Caenorhabditis elegans: one gene and its partner. The protein of the gene in region 1 interacts with the protein of each later gene in a pairwise test. Each region holds a gene or a part of one and is shown in the gene's direction. Other genes may lie near its edges.

Evidence for each region. The genes of interacting proteins can lie anywhere in the genome.
Region 2: the proteins of apc-1 (region 1) and emb-8 interact in a two-hybrid assay, tested with the Caenorhabditis elegans proteins (one large-scale study listed by BioGRID).

The regions. Positions count from the first base shown.
Region 1 is NC_003280.10:11,106,488-11,110,243, forward strand, and holds the start of apc-1 (Anaphase-promoting complex subunit 1), read left to right. Parts: upstream 1-1,673; 5' UTR 1,674-1,736; coding exon 1,737-1,790; intron 1,791-1,843; coding exon 1,844-2,173; intron 2,174-2,217; coding exon 2,218-2,647; intron 2,648-2,932; coding exon 2,933-3,079; intron 3,080-3,083; exon of another isoform or gene 3,084-3,125; coding exon of another isoform or gene 3,126-3,330; intron 3,331-3,384; coding exon of another isoform or gene 3,385-3,535; intron 3,536-3,756. Other genes in the region: nasp-1 (Protein NASP homolog 1), read left to right, coding at 149-261, 313-679, 729-1,304, 1,363-1,455; glb-4 (GLOBIN domain-containing protein), read right to left, coding at 3,126-3,330, 3,385-3,535. UniProt on the Caenorhabditis elegans protein: Probable component of the anaphase promoting complex/cyclosome (APC/C), a cell cycle-regulated E3 ubiquitin ligase that controls progression through mitosis and the G1 phase of the cell cycle.
Region 2 is NC_003281.10:5,197,982-5,201,737, reverse strand, and holds the start of emb-8 (NADPH--cytochrome P450 reductase), read left to right. Parts: upstream 1-2,060; 5' UTR 2,061-2,077; coding exon 2,078-2,199; intron 2,200-2,257; coding exon 2,258-2,351; intron 2,352-2,404; coding exon 2,405-3,403; intron 3,404-3,450; coding exon 3,451-3,699; intron 3,700-3,756.

The DNA.
Region 1 (3,756 bases):
CGCCGTATGGCCGGTTTTTAGTGGACTAGGCAACGCTCGGTTTCTAGGCTCTCCCGCGCTATTATACTCATTTGAATTTATCCGCTTTTTATTGAATTTTGAATATATATCGAATAGTATTTATTTTCAGATATTAACAAATCAGAAAATGGACACTGAAAACATCGCCGACGCCTCTGATATTCGTGTGAAGGATGCTTCAGGAGATTCAGATGAAAAAGGAAACGGGACTACTACAGAAGAAGAGACTGTCGAGCAGAAGTAAACTTTTGCTGCAGAATATCATCAATAAAATCACTTTTCGTATTCCAGAGAGAAGCGTCTCGCCGAGTTGCTTGCAGCTGGACGCCGTGCGTTGAAAGTTAACGATATCGACAAAGCATCGGATTCGTTGAGTGAGGCTACTGAACTGAGCTCCGAAATTTATGGAGAAAACCATGAAAACACGTTCGATTCTCTTTACTATTATGGCATGGCCACACTGGAATTGGCGAAGGAGGAGAGCCAACTTCTGAAAGGTCCAGGTGAGAAGGAAAGCGGAGATGAGGAGCAAGCTGGAAATTCTGATGACAAGACTGACGAAGAGAATGGAGAAACGGAGAAGGAGGACGGAGAGGAATCCGGTGAAGAAGAGGACGATGATGATGATACCATGAAATTATCATGGGAAATTCTTGAGGTTTCTTATTTTATTCAATGATTTTATGCTTAATTGTGATTATTTTCAGACAGCTCGTTGTATTGCCGCTGCCAAAATCGAAGCTCTAGAAGCTGAGCAGAGTGGAATCAGTGCCATTGAGGAATGGAACCTGAAACTCGCTGATGTACTGGTTCTCCTCGGCGAGCACGGAATATCAGATGGAAAGTATACTCAGGCTTTTGAGGACTTGGATCGTGCCCTCAACATTCAGCGCAATGTTCTTCCACCGTCGTCGAGAAAAATCGCCCAAACCTACATTCTCATCGGAAACGCGTGTGCTAGCGATGCGAATTACGATGAAACCGTTCAGTACTTCGGCAAAACCAAGGACGTACTCATCGCCAGGCAGACTGAGTTGAAGCATGAGCTGGAAAGAGGTGTTGATGATAAGGAAAAGAAGTCTGAATTTGAGAATGAGCTGAAGGAGCTTGAAGAGATGATGCCAGGCGTTGAAGAAATGATTGCTGATGCTGTGCACTCTGCAGCACAAGTTGAGGAAACTAAGAAGGCCATTAAAGCGCAATTCGAAGGATTCACACAAGTATTGGCAAAACTTCCACAAGAAGCCGGTGATCAGAAGGAAGCAAATGATATTTCTAGCTTGGTACGGTTTGAATTAACTTCCCGTAGACTTTTTAAATATTCAATTAACAAATTTCCAGGTTCGTCGTCCAGCAAAACGAGCAGTGGATGCTCCAACTGACAATCAAGCAGTGAAGAAAGAAAAGGAGGAGGAAGGAACAACTTCGATCTGAATATTGATAACCTGTAATTCTAAATATTTCATCATGATCTGACCTACTGAACTACTGATAATGTATCAATTAACATTTTATCTGTTATCCGAATTTAAGGATTCTAAAGTAAAACTTGTTCTGTATATATATATTCGCCATATATTCGTTTTTATAATTTGTTTCAAATCTTTTTCATACTTCCAAAATAATTTTACTATTTAAAACAGGATTTTCAGCTTCATTCAAATTCGAATTATACTTGTATGAGTGAAGAATTTGATGATTGCCATTGGAAAAATATGATCTCTGCTAATAAACAGTTTGATATTCAGCTGGGAGATGAAATTGGAAAGGTAATTTTTTTTAGATAATTAACAATTTAAAAAAAGTAAACTTAAATTTTCAGGATTTCTTCACCCAGGATACAGTGGTCTGCGCGTTTCGAAACAAGGAGAAGACCACGGATTTTGTCTTCACATCGGGTCCAATTATTCTCATTTGTGATGGAACGACGCGACGGAAGATGATTAAACGACGGTTCAAAATGGAGTTTGATATCAAAAAAGTGTTCTTCCACTCGTTCATTGTGACTCGAAACGCTGAAAAGTTGGCAACTGAGAATTGTGGTGGACCTGATACGAAGCATCGGGATTATTTGGTTGTGTGCGGTGAGCATAAGCTCCAGTTCATATCGCTTCCCGACTATCATTTCTATCACTATGAAATTCCTTTTAAGGTGAGAATTTAGTTTGAAATTCTGATAATTTCAAATATTTCCAGCTTCGCAACGTGTTCTCCTGCTCGACAAGTCTTCTGGTCGAACGGTTCTACGATTCATCCAGCGAACAAACCTTCCACCATCACGACACATTTCACCTCTACTCGCTATCCGGTCCATTCGGCGAGCTTCTCCCGGTTATCTACAAGACAAGCGGCTACCATCCACAATGGAAATTCTGTTGGCAATCGCATCGAGACGAGGCTGGACTCGTTGACGCTCAGCAAAATTACGTTGTTGTCTATGATCAGAAGGAGAAGACGCATCGGATTTATATGGCACGAGAGACACAAGAACAGGAAGTTCACGCAGCGATTCGATACGTTGAAGCACTCAGAAGACCGTCTGATTCAACAATGTTCGCGTCGAGTTTGGCGCCGAATTCTGCCGGCAGAACTACGCATTTTGATCCGACACTCAACTCTCCCGCCGGTAATTTTTGAAAACTTGAGCTTTTGGATAAATATATTATTCGTATTGTATCAGACATTCAAATCGTCAATATTTAGTTAATTTACAGTGATTTAAGTTAAAAACCAAAAAAACCTCGTTTCGAACAGGAAATAATTCGATTTTCCCCAAAAACTACTAAAAAAATCAAATGTTAAATTAGAAAGAGTTGTGATTAAAAACTAAAAAATAAATATTTTCAATTATGATATAGTGTGGAAGTCCGAGTTAATTTATATTCAACAAAAAATCATAATTATTTTCCAGAAAATGTGCTCTCCGAAGTGATCAGCTCGGAAATTGATAGCCGCTCACCGTTCACTCCTCATCTGCGATCCGGTTTTGGACATTCTACTCCAAACAACCCGAACGCTCCAGGCTACCCTGCAACACTTCCAACACCGAATTTTGAAGGTAATTTTTTTTTTTAATTCATAAAAATTTATTAGCACCATTAACCTCAAGTCGTGGGCGATCGTGCACGATGATGATGATCAAAATTTAAAAGTGTTATGCTTCGCCGTTGCTGATGCGCTCGTCCTGGCACTCGATTCTGTTTGACTTGATCTTCGAGGGGGCTCAATTGAGACGTCAACTTGAGCAGTTGAATGTCGCAATTATTTAGAAGAATTGACGGGTTGTTGGGAGAAGACATACGGCGGTTTCTGAAAATACGTGAAGTGAGAATTATAGCTGATGTCCGTCAAATTGTTACATACCGTAGTGCTGTGAAGTCTTGGCTATTCCTTTGAAGAGCTCCACCCGCGCGGAACATACTTCTTCGTCGATATGGAGTAATTGGAGATGATGGCTGAGTTGTTGTAGTCGTCGAGTTGCTCTCTGTTGAGCCAAGAAGAGCACACATTGGAGCTAGATTTGAGTAAATTAGAATATGAATTTAGCCAACAGAAACCAACAACAAAAAAACTATAAAACGAAAAGCACACGGCACACAGCAAACCTAGAAGTTAGTGTATTTATTGTTATATATATATATATATATACGTGGTGAGAAGGAAAGTGTAGAAGCGAACAAAATCAACTGAAGAATATCGAGAAAACTATCTAAGTGATCTACGAGGTGGTGGTGG
Region 2 (3,756 bases), on another chromosome or scaffold:
CGTTCATTGTATCGGGCCTAATTCAATTTTTAACTCAAGTGTGACGATATATTTTGATTGAAAACTACGTGCAAACAATTATGATTTTCCATTTGAACTTCAAATTTTGTAGAAAACGCATTTTCGTTTGATAAAACCGTACTTTGCGTGTGGTTTTCGTACACAACATCCAATTTTGTCAAAATGTGATAAAAGTGACATAAACTACAGAAAATGCTTGACGGTGTAATCAGTCCATATCTATTTGACTTATCAACTTAAAAACAAAATTCGCAATTTCTTTTCTTCTCTAATTCTCAATTCAATTCTTATCAATGATTAAACCTAACCAGACAATCTTTGAATTTCAACAGTTATTCACCAGTCATTTATTTCATCGCATGACTTGAATTGACGTTTAATTCAAATTAGGAAATTATTTTTGACTGAAACAATCGTTTGGCGACTAATTATTTCTGAAAGTCTTGTAATAGTGGAAATAACCAATTTTATTTTATTTCTATTACAAAAGTTGACTCTCTTTTGTGACCAAGTAATATTTAATTTTCAGAAATATTGCTCCCGGTCTCGACACAACAAATTTTGTAAAATGTAGAAAGTCGTGCTCCTTGAAAGAGTACTGTATCTTCAAATTTTCATTGTTGCGGAATTTCCCACAATTTTTCGAAGTTTTTCGATAAAAAATAGATATATTTATTTTAAAAACTCAAATTTCAACATAGCGAGATGAAAATTATGAAAATTCAACAACAACTAAAATTTGAAATTACAGTACTCCTTAACGGCGCACGTGTTTTCATATTTAACAAACATTCGTCGTGTCGAGACCTTGGGTACTGTATTTGTGCCGTAAAATTACTTGGGTTATATCAGATATTGTGCCGCAGTTTTTTTTTGTTTCAATTTTTCCTGACTCCTTGTTTTAGTTTTGTTTAAGCATTTTCCTACTGTACTTGCAAAATGTCTGAAATTTTTTAAGATTACATAGTTTTTAGAAGTTTTGTTTTCAGAAGATAATTTTGGCTAAACAGTACTCTAGTCTACGTGTCAATACAAAGTCTGACAAATTTTGTGTTCTCGAAGTATCTTTCTTCGACCACCAAATCATATTTTATGTGTGTCGATCACAAACCTCAAAAAATGATGCAAACTCTCTGACTATCTGCTTCTATAAAATACTCACCTTCTTGGCAAATACAACTTTCTTTTCACTAATAACTTTTCCTCACGGCGTATCTTTGTTTATTTCAATATACCTCCCTCCCTTAATTCGATTTTTCTTCTGTAGCTTTTGTTTTTTCTTCTTTTTCTTTAACTGTAAGACCAAATTAAGGGGACAGACAGAACAATATGTCTAATGTTCCCATTCATTCACACAAATTGACTGTACATTTTTTTTTGAAAAAAGACTCACTGAATTTGCTATACGATAATCGTATCTCAAATTAAGTTTTTAGTTGAAATTGTTTTTGTAAAAAATTATTTATTACAGTTATATGATAGAAATTCAGATATTTCTCAAAATACATATATTTTAGTGCGACAAACTTGTGGTTTTTGCGCCAAAAACACTGGACCCAGTCTCAACACGCCAAATTTTTGATAAATACAAAAAGGTGTGCACCTTCAAAGTGTACTGTAGTTTCGAACTAACGTTTCTGCGCCATTTCAATCAATTTTTCAGAGTTTTCCTCTGTTTTCGTTTGATTCGGGATTTTTCTAAGTACCTGAAATCACCTGAAAACAGAAAAAAAACACATTTTTGTTTAAAAACTATTTATTTATTGAAAAAATAAAGAAATGCATGAAAACAATAAAAATCACATAAAATTAAACTTAAAAAACTATGGAAAATCAATTAAAATTCAACATTAACGAAAGTTTGAAATTACAGTACTTTTTAAAGGCGCACGCGCATTTAACAAAAACTTGTCATTTTCTCGGCGCAAACATCGCAAAATTCAGCGGCAATATTTTAAAACATGTTTAAACTATAACTTCTTATTTATTTACTTTTTCAATATCTCCCTCTTCCTTTTCAAATAATTCTTTAATTTCAGAAACTCTCATTCTAAACATGCTGGCGTGGATTGTGTCGGGTCTCGACACATCAGACCTTGTGGTGCTCACTCTGCTCGCTGGTGGAGCAATTATATTCCTTTTCATGAAGGTTTTCAATCAGCAACCATCGTCTAGCAGGTACTTTAAAAATAAATGCAGAAAATTATTTTTTTTACATTTGAAATTAAAATTTCAGATACTCGCCAACCGTAGCATCGGTCACCACGTCAGCTGCGGCTTCGAAATCGAATCAATCATTCATTGATCGAATGAAAAATGAGAACCGACAGGTAAATTGATATGGAATTTTAAAGAAAATAGAATCAAAATTCTCTAATTTCAGGTGCTTATCATGTACGGATCTCAAACTGGAACAGCTGAAGAAATGTCTGGACGTCTTGCTAAAGATCTTACTCGTTACACCAAGAAGGCTGTTGTCGTTGATCCAGAAGATATTGAATGTGAAGATTTGAATCGTTTGAGTGAAGTTGAGGATGCTCTTTTGGTACTATGCATTGCCACATATGGAGAAGGAGATCCAACTGATAATGCAGTGACACTTGTTGAATATTTGAATGCTGGAGACTGTGATCTGTCGGGTGTTCGATTTGCAGTTTTTGGACTTGGAAATAAGACTTATGAACATTTTAATGAGATTGGAATTCAAATGGACAAACAACTTGAAAAACTTGGAGCCAAGAGAATCTTTCATTTGGGATTAGGAGATGATGATGCTAATCTTGAAGAAGATTTTATGATTTGGAGAGAAGCTTTCTTGCCAAAAGTTGCTGAAGAATTTGGATGGGAGTTGAACACAGAGGCCGAGACAATGAGACAATATCAATTGGAACCAGTTGAAGAAGGAAAAGCTCTTTTCAAGGGAGAATTTGGACGACTTGGAGCTTATGAACGTCCACGTCCACCATTTGATGTCAAAAATCCATATTTGGCTACTGTTGCGATCAATGATGAACTTCATACCGAACATTCTGATCGTAGTTGTAGACATATTGAGTTCTCTGTTGAAGGATCCCGTATTCGTTATGAAGCAGGAGATCATCTGGCTGTCTTCCCAACAAATGATCCAGTTCTTGTTGATCGTCTCATTAATATGCTTCAATTCGATCCTGATCACGCATTCCGTCTTGTGAACGTTGATGAAGATGCATCAAAACGTCATCCATTCCCATGCCCAACCACATTCCGAACTGCTCTTTCTCATTATGTTGATATTTGTGCTCCAGTCAAATCTCATGTGCTCAAAGCAATCAGTGAATATTGTACGGATGATACTGAAAAGGAATTCCTTAATAAGTTATCAACTGCCAATGAGGAGGGCTTGGTGAGTTTTTTTAAATTTTAATTTTGAAGTAATTGAATTTTTTTCAGAAAGAGTACGCCAGATACATTGTCAAAGAGCGTCGTTCAATTGTCGATGTATTGACTGATCAAAAGACATGTAAACCACCAATTGAGTATCTTCTTGAACTTCTTCCACGTCTTCAAGCCCGTTACTACAGTATTGCTTCATCTCCGAGATTAAATGAGGAAAAGATTGCAATTTGTGCAGTTGTCACTAAATATTCTATTGGTGATCGTGATATCAATGGAGTTTGTACAAGATATTTGACCACCAAGGTAAATTTTTTTGCACATGATAGAAAATGAACCGTAATGATCGAATATAACTTTTTC